3 linked regions of the Arabidopsis thaliana genome follow. The protein of the gene in region 2 interacts with the protein of the main gene of each other region in a pairwise test. Each region holds a gene or a part of one and is shown on either strand. Other genes may lie near its edges. The genes, in order: AT5G46190, BTR1L and U1A.

Region 1 (11,874 bases), about 17 Mb from region 2:
TGTAAAGAAAATTGGATTTCAGAAAAAAATAATTATTTGATGAAAAAAAAATTGAATGAAAATGTTGTTTACGAATATTTTTGCTAGTCAAAATTAAAATATTTATAAAATTTATTTGTCTTTAGCTAAAGTTGATGAGACATGAGAGGTAGCTAGGAAGAAGGATTGTTTGCCTACATATATGATGAATGTTTGTGAGTGATTTTAATGTAGCCATATCAAAAGAAACAAAAAAACTAAAACCCTTAAATAGAAATTCAATTTTGAATGAAACTGTCGTTTACGATTGATTTAGTTATTCAAAATGGATTTTGTTAGTCAATAACAAAACTGCTAACGATTTAATTCCCCCTTTCCCTTAAAGACCCGCACCTACCTATATGGTTTAAATTTGTTTCATAGTTTGTTTAGCCGTAAAAGACGGGTATTTCCTATTTTTGTAACCAATGCAAAGCCTTTTTAATCAAAAGCAAAAAAATAAAAACAAAAGAGAAGTAAACAGAAGCTCTATAGAAAAAGGAAACAAAAAATGGCTTCTCTTTGGCTGAAGTTAATCTCCATAAGTCTAATATACCTCAATGTTATCGCTAAATCAACTCCGGTATGTTCCTTAACAAGTAATTTGGTATACTAAACTCATTAATGAAATTCTCATATTGCTATTGCTGGATTTGTATTGCAGCATCAAGAAAGCGAATTCGAATGTGTCTCTATAGACAAACAATCTGCACTACAACATCCTCTAATGAAGAATCATCGCATACAGGTATTGTTCATTTGCCATAATTAAACATACTAATCATGTTTTATAAAGAAATATGTTGGAATAAAACCTAAATTAATGTTATTGTAGACTAGACCAAGTCGAGAGCTTCTATCAATACTCTCTACGTCCAATGGTAACATACTCAGAGAGATTGATTTGAAGGGATCAGAAGAATGTCCAAAGGGACAAGTACCGATTCATAAACAAAAAACCAACTTAACCAATAGTCTTATTCATCCCCAACAAATTCATAGAGCAGGTAAGTACTCTTGTCTTAATCAACTTTGACATAGGGCTGATTTTGTTTTTACGCTTATATTGATTTCTTCGTCTAGTGTACATCTTCAATAAACATATACTTTGTAATTACTTTTATTTTTATAATTTGTAACGATGTTTGATAAAAAGATCAATGTTAACAATATATAAAACTAAATATTTGAACTAGTAATTACGAACACAAATATAACTATTTACACTTTTTTCTATTCTGAAATGGTTAGAAACTTAGAATTTCTGTATTTGTTTTTAAATCTTTAAGATATATATATATATATTTTTTTTTAACTTTTACTACAATTTGTTTTCTCGTTTATTTCAGGCCGTATCCTGAAACAAAGTCGCAGGGATAAAAAGAAGAAAAAGAACAATCGACGTAAAAAAAATAAAAATAAACTCATGATCCCTTCTGCATTGTTGTCTCAAAAAAATAAGATTCCTCACCACCAGCCAAAATTATTTACAGAGACACATCTACATGTAAGTACCCTCAAGCTGCAAAAACCACTTTACATATTTGGTGATGATGATTATCTTAATAGTATAAATAGATATATGAGTAATTGATTTTTTTTTTGTAGTATGCAATTGTTAGGACATTTGAAAACACGACAAAGAAATGGCGTGGAGCACAAGCATTGTTCAATATTAACAAGCCCCGAGTGGTGCAAAATCAATTTAGTAAGGCTTGGATTTGGCTTAATTACATTCAAGGAAGCTTAATGAGCAGCATCCAGTTTGGTTGGGCTGTAAGTATTTTACTTCAAACTCCATTGATCAATTTAACAAAACTAAGATTGTCACTTATTCAGATTTAACCCCTAAACTTCTCTCTCGATCCCTCACTACAGGTGCATACGAATTTATATTCAGACGATCGTCCAAGACTAACTACGTTTTGGATGGTGAGTGATGATGATTTCCTGTATATATTCTCGAGTTTCATGATTAACATATGTTTGGTTAATTTTGGTATGAGCATAATCAAATATTTTCTATATTATTACAGTCAGATCAGCATCCAAAAGGATGTTACAATGCGTTATGTCCAGGAGGTTATGTTCAAATTCATAAATCAATCTACCCCGGTTTGGTGTATGATAAAGTTAATGCTCTAGGAGGAAAACAGAACACTGTCCATCTTTCTGTTGCTGAGGTACAAATTAAAACCCTAATTTAAGAAACAAATGTAGTCTTACTTGTTTATCTCGTTTTACATGTTGACTTTTTGTGTACGTTGGACTTCAAAAAAGTTTTAGTTTTTTTAGTCAACATTATTTGAAGCTATGTATGTGTATGTACAAATGCAGGATCCAGTGACCAAAAATTGGGTATTGACGATAGGATCCATAATGATAGGCTATTGGCCACGTCAAAGTCAGATGGTAGATGGAGCTTCTGAAGTATACTTCGGTGGATTTGCAGGAAACACTGCATCGTCTCAACCGACGACAAGCCCACCAATGGGAACTGGAGAGTTTCCGACAAAAGATTTGAGTCGGTCTTGTTTCATGAAACAGCTTAAATATGTTCTTTCGGATTATTCAGTTGTGGATATTAATGCCAACGAGGTAGAACAGTATGTGGATAGTCGTAAGTGTTATGGTGTAATGTTTCTCAAGTATGTAGATTATGATTCCAGAGAGACTCTTACGTTTGGAGGACCTGGTGGACAATGTTGATAAGAGTATTATTCTTCTACATGCATAAATATGGTCTCTGTTTTTAATTATTTTCATGCTTAGTAGTTTTCTTAAAAAATTAAAAATATTTTAGAAAAGTGAAATTTTTTAACTTGACAAATGATTATTATATTCATGTATAGTAGTCATCATGATTATTATACTTATGTTTTAATTTATTATAATTTTGAAATTACATATGCATATCTTGACAAAAAGTTTTTATCTATATATATAATTTTTTAAACAAAAAAAAATATCCACCCAATACAAAAAAAAAAGATTGTCTTACATCATTTCTTATATATTTTGCATTAGTTATAGATGATGTAAAAAAAAATTGCATCACTTAAATAAGTGACTTTAAAGTAGAGATGCATATAATTTGCATCGATTTATTACTAATTCATGTTAATGTTAAAAAATATTTACATCAATTATTATACTCCATGTAGAGTGAAAATTTTAAAGAACTAATAATATCAGTTAGTCACTGTCTATACGCTATATGGTACTCTACCGTACGACTAACGTACAAAGTATTTTAGAACAATGCCTAAACTGAAAGAAGTTCATGTGGAGTGTGTGTTGTTGAGAAGGTGGAAGAAGTTTAAGCCTTTTCCATGTGTTCTTTGCAAAGATCCTTCAAACTCTTCACAACAACATTGACCTTTTCTTCTGAACTACTCGAATCCATCTTATTATAAGCTGATTTAAGAATCTGCATCTTCAACCTTGGATCTAGAATAGCTCTCATAGCTAGAATGATACTGTATTGATCCCAATACTTATCAAACTTTAACTACATCTTACTAACTATCTATTCCACTCCAAAATCACCATAGTTTGCGTAGTCCTTCAAAAGACACTCAATTTTCCACTTGCAGAAAATACACATTAGTTGTAGGATATTTGACACTTGAGAAGTAGGCAGTGATGGTACTAAACGACTTCAAAAGGTCACAAATTCTCTCTCCAAGATCCCACTCATACTTAGAAGGAAATGATATATAGTTTCTGTCACACTCTTTCAAACTAGCAAATGCCTTACGAAACTTTAAAGTTCTGACAAGCATATCATAAGTTGAATTCCAACGTGTAGGAACGTCTAAAGATAGTCCAGCACCACTTCTAATCCCTACACTCTCAACACATGCTGCAAATGAAGTCAATCTCGAGTCGATTATTATTAATGATCATTCGTACGAATTCGTTGATCTTTTCGAGAATCGTTGTTTCGGCTTCGTTTTTAAATTAAGATTTTGAGAGCAATCGAAGATTTAAGGAGAACAAATGGATTTTAAGAATTTTAGGAGTAAAAGTGACTAAAAGGACGTCGTTTTAGTCTCAACGAAATAAAAAAAATTTGTAAATACCCATAACCCAATCACTGTTATGTGATATGTTGTTTACGCGATTAAAATTTAAACTAATTTTTTTTTGGTGGAAAAAAAATTAAATTAGTTTTATTACATAGTTATTTTACTTATTATAGTATGAAACCGGTACACGAAGACAAGTTTAAAGTATACGAGATAAGTATAAAGTATTAATTTATACGAAATAACATGTGAAACGAAGTACTTTTTTTTGCAGAATCAAAATCTAAACGTAATTAATCAATAAATATTTAAACAAGTTTAACCGTTTAAGCCTTAAAACTTAAAAGTAGATTTTAGGTTTAACAATATTGTTTCTGAGAAAATGGGCTAAACACCAAATCTAAACAAAAGTTAGGGACTTTCTTCATATTATATTATTGTTAACTATATATAACCGAAAGAGATCAATCAAAGTAAAAATCTCTTTTAACACATCGCCGTCATCTCTCTCTCTCTCTCTACTCTGCATCAGACAATCACAAATCTTTCTCTTTCTCTTTCTCTCTCTAACACAATTTAGAACAAAAGTTTCTTCTTTCTTCTCTCCCGAGAGGCCTCTCGCTGTTCATTGAAGTTCTCTTAGAATTTTCTATCACCTTGTATGTATGTTCATCGCTTGAATTGATAATCCAATTAACGAATTTTCAAATTGAATCATAAAAATCGTTTCTTTCAGTTTTTTCTTATCCACCCAATTCTCAAATTTCTCTCTTTTTTTTTTAGGGTTCCTCTCAGATTTCTCTATCGATAGAATACATTGCTTCTGCTTTTGATCAATTGTACTTCTTTTGTCTCTCTGTTTTAGGGTTGTGTAATTTGCAAAACAGACAACAATGGTTGAGCGTGGGAAGAGGACTCACAATCGTTTCAGAGACAACAACAATGACAACAACCGGAATCAAAGGAGAAGACTTTCTTACGAATCCGAAGAAAAAAAGATCGATAACAAAGACGATCTCGTTGTTGTTTACAGAATCTTATGCCCAAGTGGTGTCATGGGAAGTGTTATAGGCAAAAGTGGCAAAGTTATTAACTTGATTAGGCAAGAAACTAGAGCTAGGATCAAAGTTGTTGATCCTTTTCCAGGTTGTAGCGAAAGAGTCATAACGATCTTTTGCTCGGTTTCGGAGAAGAAAGACATTGTTGACATTGAGTATAGTGAATTGGATTACTCTGTTCCTTTGTGTTCTGCTCAAGCTGCTCTTCTTAAAGTCCATGATGCTATTGTGGCTTCTTTAGCTACTGCTGCTGAGAACACTAAGATTGATAGAGATGACTTTAGAGAATGTCGTCTTTTAGTTCCGTCTAGTCAGTGTTCTATTGTCATTGGTAAATCTGGTTCGATTATTAAGAACATTAGAGGTAGAACTAGAGCTAACGTTAAGGTTGTCTCTAAAGATGTTTCTGATCCTTCTCACACTTGTGCCATGGATTTTGACAACATTGTTATGGTTAGTATCAGAATTCCAGTAGAATTTGTTAGCATATGTTTCTTTGCTTATTTTAATCGATGTTTCTTATTCTTATTTATTTAGATATCTGGTGAGACTGAATCCGTGAAGAAGGCACTTTTCGCTGTTTCTGCAATCATGTACAAAGTCAGTCCTCGAGAACAGATTCCTCTGGATACAACTGTCCAAGAAGTTCCCGCTAGTATTATAATTCCCTCTGATCTGTCTATCTATCCACAAGCCGGTTTATACCCAAGTCAGGATTCTATTTTCCAACATGGGGCTAATGTTTCATCGTTTATCGGTACACTACCTCAGGGTTATGGAGAAAATGCTGCAAATCCTGTGCCGGTTTTTTCTGCTTCTGCTCTTCCTGTTGTTCATGGTTTTGGTGGGTCTTCCAGATCAGAAAAGTTGGCTATAAAAGTTATTTGCTCTTCTTCCAAAATTGGTCGTGTTATCGGGAAAGGAGGATTAACCATTAAGGGAATAAGACAAGCAAGCGGGTCTCATATCGAAGTTAATGACTCGAGGACAAATCATGATGATGACTGTGTTATCACTGTCACTGCTACAGAGTCTCCTGATGATTTGAAGTCTATGGCGGTTGAAGCTGTTCTTCTACTTCAAGAGAAAATTAATGATGAAGACGAGGACAAAGTTAAAATGCAACTCCTTGTATCTTCTAAGGTAATAGGATGCATTATAGGGAAAAGTGGCTCAATCATAAGTGAAATCAGGAAAAGGACAAAGGCCGATATTCATATCTCGAAAGGAAATAATACGCCTAAGTGTGCTGATCCCAATGATGAGCTCGTTGAGGTAATGATTCTTAGATTCGTTCAGCTTTGTTTTATTCAATTCTTCAATTTCTCCAATAGTGTAAATGATTCTTTTTGCTTACTTTTATTAGATATCTGGTGAAGTAAGCAATGTGAGAGATGCTCTTATTCAGATAGTTCTGAGGCTTCGAGATGATGTTTTAAGGGATAGAGAGACTGGTTCCAGGAATCAACCTCCTGCAAGATCTGAGAATAACAATTTCTTCTCTTCAAGTAGTAGTAATACTGGTCTTGCACTTCCTCAATCTTTCATGTCTTCTGTTCCGCAAGTTGCTTCTGTAGATTTCAATAGGAGACCAGAAACCGGGAGCAGCATGAGCATGCTTCCTTCGAGTGGTGGAATCTATGGTTATGGAAGTTTTCCGGTAACATTTCCTTCTTCTGCTCAAAATGGATGATCTCAGTTTCTGTGTTTATAACTTAAGTTTTTCTAACTACAGGTGGGCAATACAAGTTATGGATCCAACTCCTCTTACTCATCCAATCTATATGGAGGGTAAGTTTGCAAGTTAGTTTCGTTTGTTCAGTATTATATTTTCAACTCTTTTCCCTGTTGATTATCTTGTGAATTCACAGATTGCCTCAGTCTACTACTATGGAGGTTCGAATCCCAGCAAATGCAGTGGGTAAAGTTATGGGCAGAGGAGGAGGCAACTTGGACAACATAAGAAGGGTTTGTTTAATTTTTATTTTTATTTTTCCTTCCTCATTACTCTCTGATTGCCATAGCTTCATTCGTCTCTTCTTCCCTCTTTCCTATATAACATTTTCACATGGTATGTGCCCTCTCTCTCTCTCTCTCTCTCAGATATCAGGAGCCATGATAGAAATTTCTGATTCCAAAAATTCCCATGGCGGTCGCGTTGCTCTCATTTCCGGGACATCTGAACAGAAGCGTACCGCAGAGAACTTGTTCCAAGCTTTTATCATGTCCACTTGAATAATTTGCTCTGCCCCTTAATCCTTTTCCATGGAAGTGTGTTCCATCAATCTACCTCTCAGTGGATTTCTTTGATCGGGTTTCTCAGGCTTTCCTCCTTCCATCAAGCTCATGTTTAGATATGGTTGCATCTCTCATCAAACATTTCGGTATCTCATCTCGACTCAGTTACTTTTGGTTTCTCGTGCTAGACATTTTATAGTCTTTCAGGACCATTCTTTTCCCCTTTCCTTGCGAGCTGTTCGTACTATAACTACTTATCTCCGTGCAATAAAACAAAATCGTTCTTATATCAATCAAACTTTGCTTATTCTCCATATGTGGAATCAGATCTGCTTTGTTCTTAGTCCAAAGCAGCAGTCCTATCAGTTATGTGTTAGTTTACCGACTCTGCAAATCCCACTTCTCAGCTTCTTATGTGATGCCAAGTGATACTCACCATATCATAGTTCTTGGTGTTTCTGTATAAATTTCTGCAGTGAACAGCCATAGGTTATTATAGCATAGTGATCTTCAAGAACAGTAGCCTTTAGATCTCCTCTTGTTAATGATCGTATTTGTTTCTGCTTCTTAGAAGTTTGAACTTGTTAGTGCTTTGATCTTACGATCTGATTATTTGAAACTCCATCGGTTTATCAGAGTATCAGTAGAGGAATTTCTCATTCTTGATGATCATCCCATTCTCTGCTACGATTTTACTATCTTTAGGTCAAACTCCACTGATTGATCTTCTTTATCTTAGCCTCTGTTACCATTTCTGATTTATTCTCTTCCCAGATAAGCTCCCCGGAACTCTGATCATCTATATTAAACTTAAATCATGATCTTATAGTGCTTGTAGCATATTTAGAACCTGCCAGGCTGCGACAAGCTTTTGTGAATGTTATGTGTTTTCTGGCCATTCCCACATATTAGGTTGTCTCTCCATGAAAATTAGCATTTGTCAAAAAGATTTTCTGATTATGCTAGCGTTTGCGCTCGAACACTTCGGGCTTGGGATTTGTCCTATAAAGCTGAGGTTCCACAACATACTAGGCTGTCAAAAACCAGCCACAATATAGTTTTTTGCGGTTTGATGATTTCTCTGATAAGCCTGACACTCGGCGCTGGCTAGGTTGGCACCGTAGGATTGTTGCATTAGAACCACAATACTTACTTCTTCAAACGGTTTTCTGATTCTGCTGTGTTTTGGCTTCAGCGTTTGCTCTATTCCCTTGAGAGTGGCATTTAGTTGACAAACCCAAAATACTAGGTTTTTGGAAACCCACAACATTTCTATATACTGTTTCTGGTTTAGCTTTTGCGGTTGAAGCCTAACATTCTAACACATCCCGGGATTTTAAGCGGGTGTGTTGATCTTTAGCAGATCCTATATTCCTATTTCGTAAAAAATGGGTTTCACGAGTGTGATGAATAATAGTTTAGTTGTTGCAATTGTATAGTACCTTGAGCATCGTTTTGATCAAAAGACCACTGAAGATAAGTTTCTTAGTAGAAAGATTGATGTTGATCCATTTGGAAGGTTTTGTATCATATATGGTCATGTAGTAGTTTACGTTACGCAACTTTAAAGTGCTTTTCCATTTTTCTAATATAAATGTGAATTTCGATCAAGTGTTTACCAAGTTCAATTCTTCTAATCTCTCTATTGCATATCACATAAGTAATTAAAGTATAGCATTAAATAGGAAGAAAAAAAAAAAAAAGAGATTATGGGGAAGTCTTGGATTAACTTAGGAGAGAAAAACAACATTTGACAATTTGTAATTTTCAAACTCATGTTATAAAGCAAAAAGGTTCACTTATATCCGATTTTTTTAATATACTTGGAATTATTCGAATAACCTAGATTGTAAGCTAGAATTTGAGAAATAAATTTCCCATATTTGGTTAATGAAAAAATAAAATAAAAAATTCCCATATTGAAAATTGAGTCTAAAAGTAGAATAAAGTTACAACATTGTTCAACCAAAAAGAAAAACCGAAATCAAACCGTAAATAAATTTTATACCATATTTTTAGTATTCGGATAAAATTTGCCCATCCCGAGAAAGTCAGAAAACGATCATTTTCTAGGAAAACGAACGAACAGAGGACAAATATATTAGATAAACAGAGGGAAACAAGAACAAAAACGTTTGCTTCATTCTCTGAAAGACTCTAATGGCAGCCACCACGAGACGGTTGCTTTACTATGTGTCCAAAAGATTCTCTACCGCCGGAGTGCGGCGGAGCTATGGCGGTCTGCCACAATCGAATTCCAAATCTCCTCCGTCTTCTTCTCAACGATTGATGGAATTGGAATCTGAATTCAGTGCCCACAAGTAAAGTCTCTTTCTTTCCTCTTTTTGGGTTCTGGGTTTTGCACGTTCCATCAAAAGTTTTGATATTTGGGATTTGTTTGGTTCGATCGGACTTGTATGTATATATGTACATGCCATAGCTGTATAGAGCTCATGATTCTGAAACTTGAGAATATATTAACTGGAGTGGTGATCTTTTATTTTTAGTTATTGATTAAGATTCATGATGATGACTAAAGCTGATAATCTTTTATTGTAACGGTTCATATCCAATTTGATTCCCATGCTTGGTTCTTTCTTTTAGAATTTGAAAATTATGAACTTTAGCTTCTTCTTAATGTAAATTTCTCTTGTATGTGTTAAAATTCAGTTACCATCCTGTTCCGGTTGTGTTTTCTCGCGCGAATGGCTCAACTATATGGGACCCTGAAGGAAAGAGATACATTGATTTTCTTGCAGCTTACTCTGCAGTTAATCAGGTAATACAATTCCAAATCCGCTTCCCGTCACTCTAAGATACAATATGCGGAGAGTTTCTACTTGTTAGACTCATTGTTTGTGTTTTAATGCTTAACTTTGTTTATTGTTGCAGGGACATTGTCATCCTAAGATCATGAAGGCATTGCAGGAACAAGTGGAGAAGCTCACTTTAAGTTCACGAGCGTTTTACAACGATAAATTCCCGGTATTTGCTGAGCGTCTCACAAACATGTTCGGTTATGATATGGTGCTTCCTATGAACACGGGTGCTGAAGGTGTCGAAACTGCTTTGAAACTAGCAAGAAAATGGGGTCATGAAAAGAAAAATATTCCCAAAGACGAGGTACAACTTTTTTTTCCTGTTAAGAGTATTATTCGCAGTAACAGGTATCAAAGATTTGATACTAGTTTCTTTGACAGGCTATCATTGTCTCTTGTTGTGGCTGCTTTCATGGACGTACATTAGCAATTGTTTCCATGAGTTGTGACAATGATGCTACTCGTGGATTCGGGCCATTGTTGCCAGGGAATCTTAAAGTTGATTTTGGTGATGCGGATTCACTTGAGAAAATCTTTAAAGGTCTGAAATGTTTCCTGCTTCAATTTTTAAATGAGAGTATTGTTCCTGAGATTAAGATTTGAGCTTGAGCCACTGAGTTGATCATGCTATTGTAATTGCAGAAAAGGGAGATAGAATAGCGGGATTTCTATTCGAGCCTATTCAAGGCGAAGCTGGAGTAAGCTTCTCCATTCAAGCTAGAATATAGGAAGATTCATGCTGGTTTTGTTGCTAAATGTTGAAAATGACTTTGGTTTAGGTTATTATTCCTCCCGACGGTTACTTGAAAGCTGTTAGAGAACTCTGCACAAAATACAATGTTTTGATGATAGCGGATGAAGTACAAAGCGGTCTGGCTAGATCCGGGAAGATGCTAGCTTGTGATTGGGAAGAAATTCGTCCTGACATGGTGGTATGTTCTTTTACATTTTCTAAGCTCTTTATTTCATTTTCTTAACGGTTTCCTCCGTGAGCAAAGCATCTTGACACTGTTTTCTGAAAGATACTTGGGAAAGCATTAGGTGGAGGAGTAATTCCAGTAAGTGCAGTGCTTGCTGATAAAGACGTGATGCTTCATATAAAACCTGGTCAACACGGAAGGTTCGTATTCATTACTCTGCTCTTTTGTTGACCTGAATTAGCATATAGTGGTTTGACTGCTATTAAGCTTCTTCTTTTTTCTGTTTGTGAAATCAGCACATTTGGTGGTAACCCTTTAGCTAGTGCTGTAGCTATGGCTTCTTTAGACGTTATCGTGGAAGAAAAACTCGTTGAAAGGTACAGTTTTGCTTTCTATATCGATTCAGGTTCTTTAGATTAAAATATTAAGTTCACGTTTTGGTTTGAATCTATAGATCAGCAAGTCTTGGAGAGGAACTGAGGATTCAATTGAATGAAATCAAGAAACAGTTTCCGAAGTACATAAAGGAAGTACGAGGAAGAGGCTTGTTTAATGCGATTGAGTTCAATAGCGAAAGCTTGTCCCCGGTTTCAGCTTACGATATTTGCTTGAGCTTGAAGGAGAGAGGAGTCTTGGCTAAACCTACTCACAACACTATTGTCCGGTTAACTCCACCACTCTCTATAAGGTAAATTAGAAACAACTGAACCGGTTTGGTTTATTTAGTAGCTTATCATAGGTTTCTTGGTTGAATCAATTATTGGTTTTCTTTCTTTTGCCAGCTCTGATG
Region 2 (10,801 bases):
AGGATAATCTGACTTATCTGACTTGGCTATGGCATAAGCAGCAGTGACAGAGGCTGCAGCTGCAGCGGCTGCTGGTGACTTAAAGATTTTGGGATGTGAGGATTCTCCTGGTTTTAGCCTCATGACAAATATCTGGATGAAAAGAAGACAACAGCCCAAATAAGCATATCAATAAGATTTGACTTGTTGAAATCTATTGCTATGTGCTTACATCATTGTTATACTTCCCGTTATAGCCGCCAAAAGCTACTAAGATGTTCTCTCCAAATACTGATGCTGAACATACACTGAGACCCTGCAGTTGAACCATACAACACATAAGAAAACTCGGAAAAGAAACATGTACGATTGGGTTCTAGTTTTGGAAGTATCAACCTCACTAGCAAGTGGATGTCTTGCTTCTACATGGGTTGATGTAGACCAAACCAGCTTTGACATATTTAGAACAAGGGTCTCTAAACAACCTGCACGGAAAGAAAAGAGTTACCGAGGAGAGATGAATGCAAAGTGTTAACTGGAATCGCATGTTGAGCGAGTAAGACGTAATTCTAAAAGCAGAGACTGCATTTACCAGTACTGTTATCACCGCCCCCAACTATATACCAGTTTTCGTCAATGGTGATTCCAGCGTGTCCTGCCCGAGGAGTTACAACATCTCCCTGAACATGAGGCTGTGACCACTCCATCTGCCATGAGTAAAGTAAATTCATCAGAATATGACTAAATTGGCAAAAAAAATACCAATAAAATGTGCTTACTTACTGTTTGCAAGTCAAGGATATGAAGATCACTGTAGAAAATCGAATGAGAACAACCACCAAAAATCAAGAGGTAGCGATCAGAATGTGTGGCAGCTGTGTGATCAAATCTGGGAACTGGGCGTGTCTGCCTATCATCCAAAAAAAAACAATACAGAGCATTTACTTGTAAGACGAGGTAGACAGAAGTGCAGTAAACATAAGCATGGCCTAGATCTAGCTGCCTGCACTTTTACATAAACTTACTTTGTCTCTACAACATCCCAAGTCATTGTCTCAAGATGAAGAACATGCAGATCATTCAGCAGTCTCCTGTTCTTATCTTCCCCACCAAAAACAAGAACTCGGGATCCAACCAGTGTAATGGAATGTCCACCACGTGAAGCCTAGAAAACATGGAAGATAATATAACTTAACTATCCAAAACAGCTACATATGGAGTGAGCAACAATTTAGATAACAGTTTTCTTACCGGAACATTCCCAAACACATCAATGACTCCACATGAATGTGTTTCCAAATCAATGAACCGCACTGTAAGAAAAAACTCAAACACATAAATAAGAAATTGAAAGAGCATCCAATCAGAAGGAAAGCTGGATACGGCTAACCTAACATGTTATCTGATGACTTCTTGGAGTGTCCCCCGATCAAAAGAAGCTTGTTTCCCCACTTAATCTGCCAAAATGCTTCAAATTTAACATTTTTTTTGAGTATTGATTACAAAATTCTTCTTCATGTTAAGAAAGGACTTACCATGCGATGGTCTGAAATAGCAGGAAAAGCTTCCCGTAAGCTGCTACCATCATCCTCTTGAATGTTATCAGCACTTGATGATTCAGTTTTCAGTTTCAAACTAGACCAAGTCAAACTTCTAAGATCAAACACCTGATAAGTTGAGTTTTTTTCAAATCACCACAGATTCATGAAAACAAAAGGAAGATACAGACACAAAGAAGAAACACACAATTTACCTGGACATCAGATAAGTATCGGCCATTCCGGCTTCCACCAACAATGTAGAGCTTCTCATCAACAACCACTGCCGCATGCTGCGTCATCCAGACAACACACGAAAAGATTTCAGAGAAATTATCTCCAATTTAATCAAATGCTTAACCACAGACAAAGATATAATCAGTGACCTTGTAACGAGCTGATGCTCGAGAGCCAGAAACAGGGAGTGGTGTCCATTCATCGTGAGCTAGATTTGAATGCCAATCACCGACATCTATTTCTTTCCTGATCTCTTCCATTACCAGAGAGACCACGTCACAGCTTCACTCTGCCATTTTTGAGAACAAAAGAGTTTCGATCTAACAATTGGATACAATAAACTCCATAATCAAGTAGAAACGACTTCTAAAATCCAGAATTGAGCTTATCACGATCCTTCATTTTCCAACAATGAGATCCTAGTCTTTCTCGGAGACGATCACGAAATTAAAGTTGGGGACATTGCAATCATACAGAGATCTGAACACTAAATTTGAAAGTGATTTCACGAAAGCTAATTAAGTGATAACTGAGAAATAAAGGGAAGGAGAAACACCAACATAAAGTTAGAAACCGAAATGGCGGCGATGACCAGAGCTGCCGGAGAACGTGAATGGTTCGGAGCCGGAGAGGGAGAAGGATTGTGAGAAGCGAGATCGTATCTCCAAGTGTATATACTAATTAAAAAGTTTGGGTCAATTACGTACACTAGCAAAGGATATGGGTGCTTCTGTGTTTAGTACCCAAATATTAGGGGTACTTCAGAAAATAGAAAACTGTTCCTCGTCATATATATAATTATCAGAAGATACAAGTCTTACTTGTAAATAGTAAAAGATCCGAGCACTTGTAGTTAAATAAAAGTTTCAGGATCCATAACTTGATATTTACTGAAGAGTCTGGGAGAAAATTTACAAGATCTGAATTATGTAAATAGAGAAAAGTAAGGGTCTGATGTGTAAACAGCAGAAGATAAAACTTTTACGGAGTTGATTTTTGAAGAGCTTAGTATTTACCATCCTCCTAAGTCCTATACCGACACAACACGTTTTGGTATCATGAACTGAAAATAGTTGATAAAAGAAAGAAGCAAATGCAATGTAATGGCTGGTTATTGTAAATTGTTACAACAGAAAGAACTCAAGGGAAACAAAACTTCAACAAATTGCAACAAAGTTATTAAAAGAACAAATGAAAATAGTACTTCTCTAACTCCAAATCTGCTTCTCTCCCAGAGAAAAACACATTATATAATGTCGACATATAAATAAAACGAAAGAGAGCTCCTAGAGAGAAATCTCTGCCTCACTCAAAGATGATTAATGATCCCCATCCGATAGCTTAAGCCTCCACAAATGAAGTCAACAGACCAAAGATAGGAACCGAGATGGATTCTCTTAACGGTTTCAATCGGTGGTTCTCTCTGTGGCTGAATCAACTTTCTGTTTTATCATTGTCTCAGCTTGTTGGATTGCTCTCTGTGGCCCTGTGATACTCACTTTCCTGTCCATATTTTCCATTTATATCAAGTTAGACATGAGAGGTATCAAACACATTGTTCTGTTGTAACTCTCCAATAATCGTAACTTTACCTATCAGTGGTTCCAGACATAAAATCACCTCGGTCTGATATTTTAATTCGGGCACCAGTCATCTGCGGGAAGAAAAGTGGGTTTTAAGTTTCAGTGGACCGAAAGAGTTTTAACTAAGGGTTGCCAAATACCTGAGTGATTTCCATGATGTTTCTTCCTCCACGTCCAAGCACCAATCCTATATGCTCATCCGCAACACCAATTGTCACCGTGGTACTAGCTTCTTCCTGGAATATATGTCAAAACACAGCTTAAGTAATGTAGAAAAAAACGAATCTCTAGCTGTTTAAATACCAAAATGCCATCTTATTATCACAGTAAGACGTGACAGGAATTGCATCTCCGATCAAATTTATTTTCGTAGTTTGGTTCATTAAAAGCATCACCAATCCTTTTAATAAGCCTAATTCCTAACAAATATCAGATGTAGATTTCACATTGGTATCTCCTAAAGTTTCTGTAGTACGAATTGATCCAAACAATCATAGTAATAACATCGATAGGGATTTTTCATGTATATATGCGTTTACATAAATAGGGTGGAAGATATGACTTGTAACACCATATTATCCATAGTAGTAACACAAATAGAGATTGATTCATATAAACGCATAAATACTAATAGGGTGGAAGATTGTGAGAAGAGGCTAACCTTGTGGTTTTGATACTTGCCTCCAGAACCGTTGGGTGCGTAGTTAACCGAATTGTATCCCGCTGTTGCAACAGAAGGAAGCGCATACGCATATGGAGGACCATGAAAACCAGAGTAGAAAAGACCTAAAATGCCGAGTTTAAAGGAACTTACAAGAGAATTAAGCTACAACAGACAACCATCATACACAACCCTCAAAATGGAAAGAAGGTCCATGTGAGATGAAAGATACTAAATGCCATTACTATACCTTAGTTGACATCTGACAATCTAAAACTCAGTAGAAAATCCTACTCTAATCTTACATTTTTATCAAGGGATATGATCCAGCATCTACACTTGACACTTAGATTGTTCACATGACCCTAAAACAAGAAATCAAAAACCTTGTACTGTGATTTCTAGCCTATCTACGCCTGTCCATGTGTAGTGACTAAACAGTCTTAAAACAAATAATTTGATAGTGTCAATTCAATTGTCAAAGGAAACTCCGGAAATGATCTAACCATTTACTATATTGCTTTCCAACATGAATAAATGCAATCAAAGACATACAGAACACGATAACAAAAGAAGCTTCAAGGAGGATAACAAACCTAACTAAGCAAGTACTGAGTTGATATACCTGCATATGAATATGGGGAATGCACATTCTGGGAGTAATGATCGTCCTCAGTAAGCTTAGCCAAAATCAAATCGATTGCCCGCATCTGCTCCTCGAAGGTCCCAGATAATGTCACTAACCTATCGCTCAACCCATAAAAGGTATTATCCAGAGGGGATATCTTAATACCAGCTTTAGATTCCTCAATGAATGACCTTTTTGCAAAGAAAGAAATGTCTTGAGGGTTAGTGACAGCAGTACAACTGAAATCAGTATTCCTTGGAAAAAAACATAAAAGCAATGCCATATTCTAGAACTTAAAAGGAACTAGATATTCCATACGCATAAACTACTGCAATCTGAGTCATATCTAATACTCAGAAACTTTGTTCACCTGTTATATATAGGGTCTTGACTTGTTTATGCATGCATTCAGAGAAAATAATTGCTCTCTTAAAGATATGAACCAGAGAAGATTTGAACATAGAAACAATGCAAGAACATAACCAGATACATTATAGATGATATTTGGTGGTTAAGCGTGCTGTAGGAAATGGTGTCAAAGGAAACAGGCTATGGATTATAGAAGGTCTGAAAACCTCAAAGAAACTGCTGCAACAAATACAGAACGGAAACTTACTTGATGGTGGCCCCTCCTTTTCCGATTATACCTCCACAAGAACTGTTAGGAACCACAAGTCTAATTCTTCTCCTAGGCTCAACCTCATTACCATCTTCAGCATGAAGCTAGCAAACAGATAGAAAAGTTAAAACTGATTTCATTGTGACATACTATATAAACTAAATAAACGCAACTGTGACATGAAATACAAATTTGTCAAAAAAGATTACCTCACTGTGCAATTTATCAAGGATAAGTTCCAGTCCATTGACAACTTCTTTGATTGATCCCGATATCATAATAATTCTGTCAGTCGTCCCCGGGAAAAACTCTTGATTACGTGAAAGCTGAATCCTTGCCCCAGACTTTGCCTGAAATTCAGTGATGGTCGAGCCACCTTTCCCAATGACGGAACCAGCTGCCGCATTGGATACAAGAAACCGAATGTGTGTTGGCTTCTCAGCAGAATCTGAAAAGAGGAAAACACATTAGATAGTCAAATAGATAGCATGGTTCACTAAACCGCATCAGTATTGAGCTAATCATTGAATTGAAACAGCGTAATTTAACCATCCTTGGAAAATGAATCTATCACACAGGAAACATTCTCACAAGTTTTCATCAGCAAAAAAAGACATTAATCACACATGTCCGTTGACATATCACAGAGTACTTAAACGAGATCCGATTCACGAATGTGACGAAATACCGAAACAATTGAGTCAGAGTCGAAGGAGAAAAAAAAACAGAAGACCAGATCGGATCGAAAATACCAGCTTCGGAAGAATCATGCGGTTCAGGGGATCTCTTAGCCAGCTCTTCCGGTGAACCTGCCGCATATGACTCAGTAGACTCCATTGCTGCTACAGAAGATAAACGGCATTAACCAATCGACATTATCAATTCAATGAAGAGAAATAAGAACGAAATCGGAGAGAGAGGAAGAGATAAGACTCGTTCATCGAAATCTGAGATTGAGAAGGAAAAATTCCAAAGTTTACCTGTCTTCACACAATTCGAATCTGCTCCCTCCGTCGTCGTCGTCACTTGGCGCCGGTGGTTAAATGAATCTGAGCAAAACTAAGTCTCAATCGTCGTATCGGTGCTTCCTCGGCTTCTTCGTCTTTGTCGCCGAGCGGTTTGTGAAGTGAATGAAGGTGGCTCTGGTGTCCTTCGTCTATCTATCCACTAGCCTCCCTTATTCTATTATTTTTTATTTTTCCTAAATTTAATTTTATTGACCGCCTCTCTATTTCTTTTTTAATTTTTTTTTCCTCTTTCACAATCATCTCACTTTTTATTTGTTAAAATATCAAATCAACTCAACTACAAAATGTGTTAACATCAAAATGTGCTACGAAATAAAACATAATTAGAAAATAAAACACCAAAATTATCATTTTTCTACAATTTTAAAGCAATAGAATGAACATGATAATAATAAAATAAAAATGGCAATATGTGTCTTTTTCTCTCTATTTTCTCATTTTAGAATTTGATTTTATTGCATTGGTTTGATTTATTTTCATAGTTTGTTAGATCTTGAATTGCAGTAAATATATGTTTATCAAATTGTACGGTAGAGTTGACGAAGACGATAGATACGATTAATGGTAATGCATGTTTATGATTTGAATCGGTCGATTTAATAATGTAAGTTCAATATTATTATAAGGTGATTTTGGTTTTTTAGCCCGGCAATAATGGGAAGTGGCTCTTTAGCCAAAATAAATAATGGGAAGTGGCAACCTGTGTTTTCTTCACGACTACAGATTCATTGGTTAAAACCTTCAATAAAATAATCATGTTATTTTGTGAACTTTAAAATTAGTAATCAAATTCCTCACACATTATTATTTTCAATAATTAGATAACTCTTTTTCGCATTTTCTTAATTAATTTTGTACTCTTTAATTAGGAAAAAAACTAATTATTTTAATCAAAAATACTGACAAGTGTTATGGATCCAACCGAGTCTGGTTACATGACATTTTCATATTTACTTACTCAAATTGCGAAGGTTATTCGTTGTTGGCCCAATATATACATTTCACGGGCTCTTGTTGGGCTTGCTTTCAATATTCAGCGTATTTTAACTGTAGCGAACGAAACAACGTCAGCAGGCTAACATGCGCAGTCGAAGCAGGTGGTGATGGTGGTGCCACCTCCCAAATCTTCGTCGTCCCAATAATCTTATCACGTTTCTCTCACTCTCTCTCCTTCGCTTGTGTGTTTAAGCTAAGCCGTTAGTCGTTAAACATCTCATATCCTAAAACGCCGTCGTTTTAGCTATGGCGTTGAGCTCAGCTACGCTTAGACTTACCTCTCTGTCGTTCTCGGCGAAGAAGACGAATCGAAACCCTAGAAATCCAGCTCTCTCCTTCACCATCACTAGCTCATCGTCCTTTGACGAATCACCCAAACCTTCTTCTCTCGCCACTTCCTCTTCTACGTCACCTATACGCGTCTCCTCTAGTTCTACCCCCAAAGCTCGATTCATCGCTCGTCAGAAACAATCCGTCTCCGTTCGTCAGCTACAGCGACCTCTAAGTAACTTCAGCGCGATTCTCTCTGATCTAAATTTCTGTTTCCTGTGGATGATTAAATCTGGATCGGATTGTTTGATTTTGAATTTGCTTTTTGTTTATGGTTTGCAGTTGAGTATATGAGCTTACCTGCGAGTCAGTACTCGGTGCTTGATGCGGAGAGGATTGAGAGAGTTGATGATAACACGTTTAGATGTTATGTTTATACGTTTAAATTCTTCAACTTTGAAGTCTGCCCTGTTTTGCTTGTCAGGGTTGAAGAACAGCCTAATGGCTGCTGCATCAAGCTCTTGTCCTGCAAGGTAATTCTTCTTTTGTTCTTTTGGAAATGATTGAATTTGCAAACAAAGAGAGGAACTTGTGGCGTTTAGACATATGTCAAATCAAATCCAGTTATGATTTGTTAAGACTGTGATGATTTTTGTATTTTCTTGTGCCATATAGCTTGAGGGATCTCCTGTTGTGGTTGCTCAAAATGACAAATTTGATGGTAAGCATATCCCTGTATACGCTTCACTTTGTTAACCCGTTTTGAAAGTACTGCCATGTTGTCAAGTTTTGTGTACTGAAATTATTTAAATTTAGTGATGGTTGTGTGGGCTTAACATTTATTATTTTCTAGTCATGCAGCTTCTATGGTGAACCGGGTATCATGTGATAGCACTCAGGAGGGCTCATCAGAGCAACAAATTACTTCAGATGCAGTCATTGAGGTAGCTAAGTTCTTCATTTTTTTTCCTTTTGCTTAGTTAATCAGTGCATTGCTGTGGTATCTCTGACTTACTTGGCGATTGTAGGTCAATATCGAGATTCCTTTTGCATTTAGAGTCTTCCCAGTGGGAGCAATAGAGGCGACTGGGACACAAGTTCTTGATCAAATTCTTAAACTCATGCTACCTCGATTTTTGTCACAGGTATGCAGGAAAACAGATTTGTATTATTACGTTTTAATTGCTTATTCTGCATCAACGAGGTCCGTTAAGCGATCATTTATTTCTCTATGGCACTATGGTTTTTTAGATAGCAAGATCGTCCTGCTTGAGAGGATTAGTCTGACATCTGAGGTTTCCTGTTGATATTTGAGAAGATCTTTTATATTTGAGCTGTTTGATGAGGCAATATAACATGTTTTGGGCGTTATTTATGTTGGTAAAGCACATGTTGAACCAGGACTCAGGTTTCAGATTAGCCTAGGCTTCTATGGTTTCCTCTGTAAAACTGGCTTGTTGATTCTTTATATTTATGTGCTCCTCCTTCTGCATATATGAACATAAATACATTCCATTGCCTGCAAAATCATCCCAACATTAATCTTATCATGCTCTTTTATTCATTTTGCAGCTCTCCAAAGACTATCATGCATGGGCTTCGGGAGACACTTCAAGGCAACCTCTTGGGACCGGTGAGATCTGATAGTAAAGCAAAAGCTACCGTACGTACCTGGTTCAACGATCCTGTGCCTCCTCGAGTTCAAATAGGGGATGATAGCAAATTCTCGATCTTTTTCAATGTGGTATTCGGGTAAAATAATCACAAAGGAATCTGTAGTCACTGGAATTTCAACCCTTTTCAATAGAATACGTTTGTTTGTTTGTTCCACTGTAATCTCACGGTGTGTCATGTTAATGATCCAACCGAAAGTTCCTTAAACGGATCTCCTTTGTACCAAAAAACTGTCTGGTAGAACTAAAATTGAACCGATAAATGGATGAGCCGGTTCATTGAATACTACTTTTCTGAAGAAAAGCTTTCTCGCTGCATGTCATTTGTGAAGATAACGTGTTTAATTTCAAAATGAAGCCAAAAACAATTTAATGTTTTAATCAGAAGTCATTTGCAACTTGTAGACACAAACGTTAAATTTTAGTCGGTGAGTACTTTTGTTTGTGATTCATGTCAAACGTAAAACATAAAAGAGAACCATGTCAAACGTAAAACATAAAAGAGAACCATCTAAATTTATCTTTTGAAACCTATTATACTTTGACGAAAAAAAAAGCCCTATTATACAATTAAGCATGAGTAAAAAAGAAGCAAATGTTCTAAGCAACGGAGAAATAATTTTTCTTATCGGTCCTTTTACAAACGACAGCCATATATCATTTGTGCGTATCTCAAAGCAAAAGTCTCTTCTCTCTTTGAAAAGACAAAATCAAGCAACTAAGCAAGTAATGCTAACTTCACAGTTACAAGACAAAAGAAGACATTCACATAACGGTGAAACAAGAAAGATTGTGTTTGATATGTTTTCCTTTAATTTCGGTTAATTGGAAAATATTGTCAAGCCATGCATAGCCAAAGTAAATGTAGTTTAAGTGAATATCCTATTCACATTGCCTGAAATTTTCAAAACAAAAAGATATAGACAAAAGATCAATGCATATGTGATATGTCGACTAGCTAGTTATACAAATATCAAAATTTACTAAGTTAAAGATGCATGATTGTATATGGATGTCGTAAAATGTTAAAACCAAAACGTGCGTTTGTTCCCTCTCAAACGAAAGTTTGTGACTTCGAGAAATATTTTTTTTTTCAGTAAAAGACAAAATAGTGAAGAAGATGCAATGCATGAGTTGAGTCATATACATACTAAAGCGTTTCTAGTTTTTGGAGAATTTGCTAAAACCGTAAGCAATGATTTTCCTATAAATATCTAAAACACAATAACTTTCTTTGAAATAACTAATCACAGCCTATATTTTGTTTTCTAAACACAATCACAATGTCTTATCATGATAAACATATATAAACGAAGAAGGGAAGAAGATGAGTGGATATTATAGAAAGAAAACGTACGTTTGTGTAATTTATATTAAGCGATCAGTGAAAGACGTATGTGACTGATGAGACCTAACATAGACCCAAAATCCATGCAACCTTGTCTTTCGTCCCAATGCATTTGTACGCTTTCTCATAGACATTTTCTTATTTGATTATATCATTGATTAAAGTATAATTATAGAGAATGAAAAAAAAAAATCAACTATGCCACCATGTGATATAATTTATTTATTTTTCTTGATTATTG
Region 3 (8,811 bases), on a different chromosome or scaffold from region 2:
ATTTGAAATTAAAATTTTTGAATAATAAATTTATTTAAAATCATAAAGGTCTCAATTATAAGTTTCCTATGTTTTATCATTTTGCCATTTTTACACATATAAAAAAAGATTTATAAAAATGAAGATAAAACTAACATTATTGTAAAACCAGAATAAAAATTGAAAATGACAAAATTAGAGATTAAAGTAGCTAAAGTACAGTTTCTGATCTTCAAACAAGTGATTAATTCGATCTTACATATCATGGGACTCTCCATATATTCGTTCCATTTTGTGTATATGAACCTCTGATCAATGCGTTACATATGCTGCAAAAACCATCACAAAAGCTAAATGTATAACTCTGTAGGTAATTTGAAACGAATAACGGTCCATGCAGTGAAGTATACAACCACAAGTTCGAAAACACTCTCGTAATTAATGCAAGCCAAAGAGCTCAATGAGAACTATATATGGCGAAGACAGAGCTTGAAATTACCCTTTTAGTTTCATGTGCATTGTGCACCGTCAATCCCATCTAGAAACGCTACATTTTGGTCAGCACACAATAAGGTTCAAAATAACCAAAGCAACACTTACATATATGAGAACTATAAAGATTTAATCAACCGTCGAACACAAATGATTTAACACACATATACACACAAACAACGAAGAGCTAGTCAAGAACAACGAAAAACACATTATCAATAAGGTTTAAGGGATATATAACATCAATGGGTGAAGAGCTCATGTTGGAGAAGTTAAGTACGTGCAAATAAGCAAATGAGACGGATTTCGTGTTTGTTGGTTTGCACGTGCCCTGCTTCTCCAACATGGAGATTCTCACCCGCATTTCCAAGCACATGAGGGGCGTTTGTAGTATGAGAACTTTGGTTATGGAAAGGTTTGTATATATAGGCCCAAAGATTGCATTAATGGAAGACTAGCTCACACGCACATCCGTATATGTTATGTGTGTGTGTGTGTGTGCTGGCGTGAGTGTGTTTTACGTAAGGCAAAAGAACCATACCATGCCATGATGGCATCTCACGCAAAAGAAGGGTTGAACTAAAAAAGTGAGAGAGTGAAGAGAGCTAAACGATCGCTAGCTAGGGCCAAACAATACCTTGTCTAATAACTGCTAAGTTTTGAAAGCTTTTTTTTATTCCATATTACTGTTTTTTTAGTGTGGGGGCTTGTCTGCCCTAAATTTCACAAACTCTACATATATAAGTGCTAGGTTGCTAGGCGTACCATATTGTCTTATTGCTAGGATCCTATGAAGCCGGTCACGCGTTGACAAGCAAGACCTTAGACCTCTCTTACGACTAATCTTTAGCTAGCATCTACTCTATGGCATGGTAAAAAAATACAGTATCCATATTCTTTCACTTCATTAGAATGAATTACCGGTATATACCAAAATAAACTGGATATCCACTAGTTCCTCACTAATAATAATCTACACTTAACTTTGTTTCAGTTTATATTGAAACTCTTCAAATTCAAATATTGATATACATTATACGATATATATATATATATATATATATCTGTAAATTTTCTACTACATAAATGATTTTTTTTTTTCCTCTATCGATCGATATGTATGTATATCATGATGATAAATGCCGAAGCATAAAAGAACCATTTGAATTAATAACATACATGTGCGTGAGAGAGAAGGGTCAAAAGGGCAAGGTGGGTCGTCAAAGACTGTTGGGGGCAAAAGAAGAGAGGAATAATGAAAGAGTGCACGTAGGGCTTTGCGTGTTGTCCTAACTTTCTCTAACATGGAAAAAAAAAAGGTCCCTATGTTGATACCATTCCTCCCTCTTTCATTAGTTGATTGTGTATATTATATATATGGTCTATGATTAATGTATAATCCTCCTCAGTCCACACATGGACTCAGGATAGGTAAATATGATCTCTAGATTAATGGTCTTACTATAGCTAGTTAAATTGTTATATAGTAATTGAAGATGCTAGCAAGTGATCCATTAATGTTTAAAGTGGTGATTCATTGGACATATACATAATGACCCATTAATGTTTTACTACTAAGTACTAAGATAAGCTAGTAAGCAAGAGCTGAGATACAGAATAACACTAATTAGGCAGTGTGTGTCACACAGACCAGAGAGGCAGAGATGAATCAGCAACAAATCTTTTGTCTTGTAAAAAGAGGAGACAGAGTCAGACAATGAAGTCATCACCAAATCTATAAACACATGCATTAATGCTTTTACGTGTCCGTATCACACTCGTGTTTCCCACTAAATGCTCACTCATTTATTGAACCATCGTCTAATTAATGCTTTTGATAACTTAAATGCATGGAGGAGTGTCCTTCGCCCAATATTTCAAAAAAAGGAGAGAGCTCACTCAATTCTCTTGACGCACGAGTTTTGGACCTAATAATCGCTGACCTCATCAGCAACAAAGAAAAACAGCTACACTACAAAGACTTTTCTTTCACCAATCCAACATCAAATAATGATTGCTTCTTGTTTCTCTTTTATTAGATATCCAAGAATTCGTAAATAAAAAAGAACAAACCAATCATCCATAAACCTTTAGTTTAAAGTTCACTTTGCGAGTTTTTTACTTTAATTCATTATAGTTTCGTTTAATCAGTCAAATTAAAGGTCTTCAGTTATCTGATCAAATATGGAAGAAGAGGCTTATCCATAAGTGGAAGAAGGTGACGAAATATTAGATAGACAAACACCAAATCGAGACGCTTATTGTCTGGATGAAAAAATTGTAAGTTAGATGATTGTGTAATATTCTAAGCAATTCTACAACAAACACACAAGAAAGACAAGTTTCCTTCTTGCGCAAACCATGGAAGAAGTAACATTGACAGATACAAACATATCTCATCGAAACACAAATAAAACGAAATTGTCTATTTCTTGGCATACGTGATGAGCATCTGGTTTTGCTGAATCTTGAAACCTTGAAGTCCCTGCATTGCGACCGTCGACTGCATCTCATCAGCAAACTCCACAAAGGCGATTCCCGGTTTGGCTTCAATCATTCTAACTTCCTTAAATCCTTGGTACTGGCAGAACAACATCTGAAGCACCATTGGAGTTGTCTCGTGAGGAAGGTTTTGGACAAAGAGAATATTATTTGGCGGAGCTGGTGCCTCGGGCATATTGGGTTTCATACCACCAGGGTATGGTACTTGCGATAGCTGTGAAAAGCGTGGCAATAAGAACGATCATCAGAATACAGGAAAAGAATTAAGAGCGTCCCCCAAACGTATGAATCAAGATTAGAGTTAAGAAGATGTTGAAATAACTCACAGGAGGTGCAGCTCCATAGACACCTGGATATGCTGAGTTCATGGGCATGCCCATCTGTGTAGAATCATGGTGCTGGTCTTTCTTTTTCTTGCCGCCTCCTGCACTTCCAAAGACGATATTTAGATGCGAAAACAAACTGTTTGTAGGTTGTGGAGAAGCAATGTGAATGTGATGTGACTACTAATGATCAAATGCAGAATGTGGGAATGAGAAACAGAGCAATAAATCTCATGTACACATATGCAGTAATGGTCAAAGTGAGCCAATGAAGCAATGAAGTAAAAAAAAAGTGTCACCTTTCTCCTCATGTCTCTTTCTCTTCTCGCGAGGAACAAATGTACCATCGGCCTTGGCAACAACATCTGATTTTGTTTTGGCATATTGTATTCTCTGTCCACATTGTTAAAGTTAGGAATTAATAATATAGCAAAGTGATTGATAAGTATTTCCACAACCTAAAACATGGTCAATAACCTAAAAGCAACCACTAAACATATAAAGGGTCTTTCAAATAGAATCCATGTGGTTCACTAAGAAAAGCTCTCTAATCAGTAGATTCAAACCCTAATTAGGTGTTCCACTAACTCTAGGGGCAAATAGGCAAACCAAAACACATCGAGTAAGAAGAAGTTATCAAGAAAGTAACTGGAGTGGAAGGAATTGGTACCATCTCCTTGTCGTAGAAAGGAAAATTATTCATTTTAGCAATAGCAGTGGAAGCAGACTCGGTGTTGTCGAAGACTACCCAAGCTTGTCCTTTGTGCTTAAAGGTCTTAAACGCCAATATCTCCAGTATCTTCCCGAACTGAGAGAACACTGCATTCAGCGATTTCTTCAGCTCTGTAGAACAAAGTTACCAATAACAACAATGAAGAGATCAATCAACTCAAATCGGAGGAGAAGAAGAAGATATACGAGACGATAAAACAAAAAAAAAAAAAAAAAAAAAATTAAGTACCATCAAGCTTCACTTTTTCGTTGAGATTGTTGATGTAAATCGTCTGATTCGGAGAAACCTCCGATCCTCCTCCTTGATTAGCCTCTTGCATCTCCATCGTCTTCACCAAATCTCTCCGTCGAATTCGGAGAAGATTATTAGCCGGAACCACCCAAAATCGAATTAATAAAAAAAAGTGAGGTTTAACTCTGTTCCTCCTAAAGCCCTAATAAGCCCATCAGTTAGCCCAATATTCTTATTAGTGGGCCGATTAATATATTTAGCCCATCAAAAACCCTAAACTGATACATATTATTAGTAGTTTCACTTCTTATCTTCACTCCCAAGCAATCTTCGGTTCTGCTTCTTTCTAGATTTTGACTCTCACTTTGGGCTTCTTCTGTGTGTTTCATCATTTTAGGGTATCGATTTGATAGCCGGAGGTAAGAGCAAGAAGACGAAACGTACTGAGCCTAAATCCGACGATGTCTATCTCAAGCTCCTTGTCAAGGTTGAGGATTTGACTAAAAATCCGTCAGAGATTAAATTTTTTTTTTTTTTAGGCGAACCGATATCTGGTGAGGAGAACAGAAAGCAAGTTCAATGCCGTGATTTTGAAGCGTTTGTTCATGAGCAAAGTGAACAAAGCGCCACTGTCTCTCTCTCGTCTGGTCCGATACATGGACGGAAAGGTTTGAATTTTGTTGTTGTTTAGGTTGTTACTGCATTGAGTTCGATGTTATGTTACTTGGTGGCGACTCATGAACTAATGCTCTGTGTGTTTGATTTTATTAGGATGGAAAGATTGCTGTTATTGTTGGTACTGTGACTGATGATGTTAGAATCGAAGATGTTCCGGCTCTTACAGTTACTGCATTGAGGTTCACTGAGAGCGCTAGAGCTAGGATCCACAAGGCTGGTGGAGAGTGCCTCACTTTTGATCAGCTCGCTCTTCCGTGCCCCACTTGGTCAGAGAACACGGTATATCCCATTCTTGTTTCACTCTTAGTTCAGTTGTCGAAATGTGGAAACTTGTGCTAATCGTTTACTTGTTCGTGACGTATGTAGCTTAGTTCAGTTACTATGTCTCGTTTCATGATGATTGGAATTTGAGGTTACTGTCCTAACTTTCAAAATCTAGTGGCTTGTAAGCCTTTGTTTAAAAGGCTATCTCGATGAAAATTAGAGAATATCTATCTCGAGGACCACTTGTACTCAGTTTACAAGGGTTATATTTTCACTTTTTATTATTGCAGTAGCGATTGATGTAGCATTCCGTAATGATTGCAGGTTCTGCTTAGAGGTCCTAAGAACACACGTGAAGCAGTGAAGCACTTTGGACCAGCTCCTGGTGTGCCTCACAGCCACACCAAACCGTATGTACGTCAAACTGGTAAAAAAATTGAGATAGCAAGAGGAAGAAGAAGGAGCAGAGGTTTCAAGGTCTAAGCCTAGCTACGAAACTTCATGGTCAGTCTGTGTATGACTTGAGTTTATCTTTTAACTATTATGGATTATACTTTTACATTGCTATAATGATATATATATATGAAAACTAAGTAGGAGAAAATCTTTCTCTCTTTTAGTTCTGCTTTTGCTCCTTATAGTATTTGATTTGATTAGTTATCATAAATGGCAAATTGGATTTCTGATGAACTAGAGTAATACTTGAAATTTTTCTGAAGTAATCGGTTACCTTTCGACTTTCAAAACTTGTCTTTTCCTTTTTTATTTGCGCATTATCGGGTTTTGGATTAGATCAAATGTTTGATCCTTTTTCATTTGGGTAACTCTCTTTGTCAATACCTTTAATTGATCCAAAAGATCTTCTCACGCTATGATTAGATTGTGTAAGTGAAGAACGTACGTTGGGTTTCCTCATCTTTGTAATGTCTAAGATATTGGCGTCAGTCACTGTCTTTCTTTCTGATTGCTAATAAGTAAGCTGGTACGTGTTATTGTTCCAGTTTTTCTTTAATCTTTTGGATTCGAAATGACTTGAAAGAAAGAAAACCAAAATAAATAAATAAAGGTGAGGCAAAAAAACGTTACAAGGAAAAAAGAAAGTAATAAAGGGGAAGAAAGGGAGAGGAATGCGTTGGCCATGACTAGGCTCAATGTATAAACCTTGACTTGGTGTTACATCATATTACAAAATCAAAATTTTGAAAAAAGAATTATCGAAACTACTTAGATTTATCTAGTACTATTTATTCTTAATATATCATTTGTTTACAATTTTACTAAATATAAAAGTGACCTTAATTATAAAATAATTTGTGAAATAAATTGTGTTTTTGATAAATAATTTACTAAAATAGGGAATTATTTTATTTTAAAATAGATACTAGTAGCGCTATCCTTCTTTATTTTATTGTATTTACTTCCTTTTTCTGTAAAATCAATTCTTACTTTTTCACAAATGTCCCTATTTTCAGCCTAACTCTTTTGTAAATGTTTTTCTCTCTTGCCTTTTCTTGACTACCAATATCCTTTCTAAGAAAATTTTAAAAAGAGAAAGTGGTCATCTGAAGTTTCATAGAAATGTGAATGATTATTTCTTGTATCATCATTTTATTAACTGAATGAAATTCAAACAACAAAACATGGTCCTAGATTGCATTTTATTTTGGTGTGTCGTAAATTGATTCCATCGGAAAGGAAACAAACTAACAAAGATTGTTTTTGATATTTTGGTATGTTTTTTTACTTTTTGACAACTTTGATAGTACATTATTCTAGATTTGCCGCACGGCACATCACATGGAAGGATGATGAAAATAGAAATATATCCCAACTTGGGGAATGTTTTGACCAATGGGCAACCTTATCTTGTTCATCAAATCATAATACAATCTTTTCTCTCTCTTATTGCTGTTGGTTAAACAATAATCAAATAAATTACCCAACATGGCAACTTAAGTGAATACCCATAGATTCGCTATTTCTGCGGCCGACGTATGAGCAAACCCGTGAATTAAAAAAACAACTTGTACATCGAAATACTATTTTAAACAACATTTCACTAACCTTGGCCAATATATTAAAACTACGTTAACTTTTTGTATATTTATAATAATTGTAATGCTGTTGAACATTGAGAAGCAAGAAAAGTAGAAAACTGCGAAATTGAGTGAGAAATGAAAAGAATAATAATAATGGTGATGGTAACTAATTATAGAAGAGCATATAATTTGTGACCCATGTTGTCTATGAGCGAAATAATTTTTGATTTTATAACTATTAAATTTAACATGAAAAAGGTGTATAGTATCAAATCTAAATCTAAATGAGTATATGTGATTTTGGGGGAAATCACACACCATTGTCATTTGTATATTATTATATGGTAGACCAATGTTATATATATTTTTAATCGATCGAGGTAGACCAATGTTATGTAAAGTAGAAACAAGACTGAAAAAGGCGTAGAGAGCAATAAGGTCGTAATCAATTTGTAAAACAGACTAGAAAATTCCAACGGAAATCCAATTTACATTCCTCTTCACGACAAAACACTTATTAGGTTCTGATGTGTAAAAATGGTCTTAAAGCCATATTTTTGAAAATGACTCAAACGAAAGGAAATGAAAGAAAAATATATATTTTTATTACTAAAAAGCAAGAGAAAACAAGTGCTAGAGCTAGCCTAGAGATCGATCCATCAAAGCAAAGCAAAATGAGGAAGGCCATCTAAGATTAGCATCTAAGCAAGAACAATATAATGATATTCGTCCGTGTGTGTTTATTAAGTTATGCATGAATTTCTCAGTTTGACTCGTGCATATATACCCCGTGTGTGTTTATTAAGTTATGCATGAATTTCTCAGTTTGACTCGTGCATATATACCCCGTGTGTGTTTATTAAGTTATGCATGAATTTCTCAGTTTGACTCGTGCATATATACCCCGTGTGTGTTTATTAAGTTATGCATGAATTTCTCAGTTTGACTCGTGCATATATACCCCGTGTGTGTTTATTAAGTTATGCATGAATTTCTCAGTTTGACTCGTGCATATATACTATGTTAATTATTTATTGCTTTTGACATCCATATCTAAAAGTAAATAAATATAGACTCTGCCTACTTGATTATACCAGATCACAATCACCAAATCATGATATAAAAAATAAATAAACAGAAGTTTAGCATAATGACTGAATATAAATCATGATTCTAAATAACCGACTGAATCATAAGAAATTGCGCAATTCCGTAATCATTGTTCAATTCAACCGGTTATGTACTCATCATCACAATCGTGTTAAAACAAAACAAAACAAAATCTGTATTAGAAAAAAATGGGGGAGAAAAAGACAAGAATAATGTATGGGATGCTCGAGAGTAATTTGAGGGAAATCACAAGTGGGCTGAAGAACTTGTTGAGTTTCTTTTGACATATCAATAGACTAAGAAGTCACAAGTGGGCTCAAGAACTTGTCGAATTACTTTCTTTTGGCATATCAATAGACTGAGAGGTCACAAGTGGGTTCAAGAACTAGGAACTTGTAGAAAACTTGAAGAAATAAAATAAAAAGGGAGGGACCAAATGGTAAAAATAAAACATAAGAAA

Evidence for each region.
Region 1: the proteins of BTR1L (region 2) and AT5G46190 interact in a two-hybrid assay, tested with the Arabidopsis thaliana proteins (one large-scale study listed by BioGRID).
Region 3: the proteins of BTR1L (region 2) and U1A interact in a two-hybrid assay, tested with the Arabidopsis thaliana proteins (one large-scale study listed by BioGRID).

Annotation. Positions count from the first base shown.
Region 1 is NC_003076.8:18,718,903-18,730,776, reverse strand, and holds AT5G46190 (RNA-binding KH domain-containing protein), read left to right. Parts: upstream 1-4,527; 5' UTR 4,528-4,708; exon of another isoform or gene 4,709-4,712; intron 4,713-4,774; exon of another isoform or gene 4,775-4,914; 5' UTR 4,915-4,942; coding exon 4,943-5,560; intron 5,561-5,644; coding exon 5,645-6,382; intron 6,383-6,473; coding exon 6,474-6,767; intron 6,768-6,842; coding exon 6,843-6,898; intron 6,899-6,978; coding exon 6,979-7,342; 3' UTR 7,343-9,025; downstream 9,026-11,874. Other genes in the region: AT5G46200 (carboxyl-terminal proteinase-like protein (DUF239)), read left to right, coding at 530-601, 683-766, 854-1,025, 1,368-1,525, 1,627-1,794, 1,897-1,950, 2,055-2,201, 2,356-2,727; DELTA-OAT (ornithine-delta-aminotransferase), read left to right, coding at 9,506-9,666, 10,016-10,124, 10,238-10,468, 10,546-10,705, 10,807-10,862, 10,944-11,096, 11,187-11,284, 11,381-11,461 and 2 more.
Region 2 is NC_003076.8:1,247,442-1,258,242, forward strand, and holds BTR1L (binding to TOMV RNA 1L (long form)), read right to left. Parts: upstream 6,513-10,801; 5' UTR 6,226-6,512; intron 6,085-6,225; 5' UTR 6,083-6,084; coding exon 5,998-6,082; intron 5,694-5,997; coding exon 5,455-5,693; intron 5,350-5,454; coding exon 5,243-5,349; intron 4,818-5,242; coding exon 4,624-4,817; intron 4,124-4,623; coding exon 3,999-4,123; intron 3,574-3,998; coding exon 3,478-3,573; intron 3,409-3,477; coding exon 3,347-3,408; intron 3,258-3,346; coding exon 3,161-3,257; 3' UTR 2,807-3,160; downstream 1-2,806. Other genes in the region: AT5G04420 (Galactose oxidase/kelch repeat superfamily protein), read right to left, coding at 1-132, 212-295, 376-464, 572-686, 763-889, 1,005-1,144, 1,231-1,292, 1,370-1,436 and 3 more; AT5G04440 (RAP release 2, galactose-binding-like domain protein, putative (DUF1997)), read left to right, coding at 7,516-7,774, 7,882-8,072, 8,215-8,260, 8,401-8,483, 8,568-8,684, 9,112-9,183.
Region 3 is NC_003071.7:19,512,772-19,521,582, reverse strand, and holds U1A (spliceosomal protein U1A), read right to left. Parts: upstream 4,397-8,811; 5' UTR 4,355-4,396; coding exon 4,258-4,354; intron 4,140-4,257; coding exon 3,967-4,139; intron 3,690-3,966; coding exon 3,596-3,689; intron 3,398-3,595; coding exon 3,300-3,397; intron 3,188-3,299; coding exon 2,897-3,187; 3' UTR 2,670-2,896; downstream 1-2,669.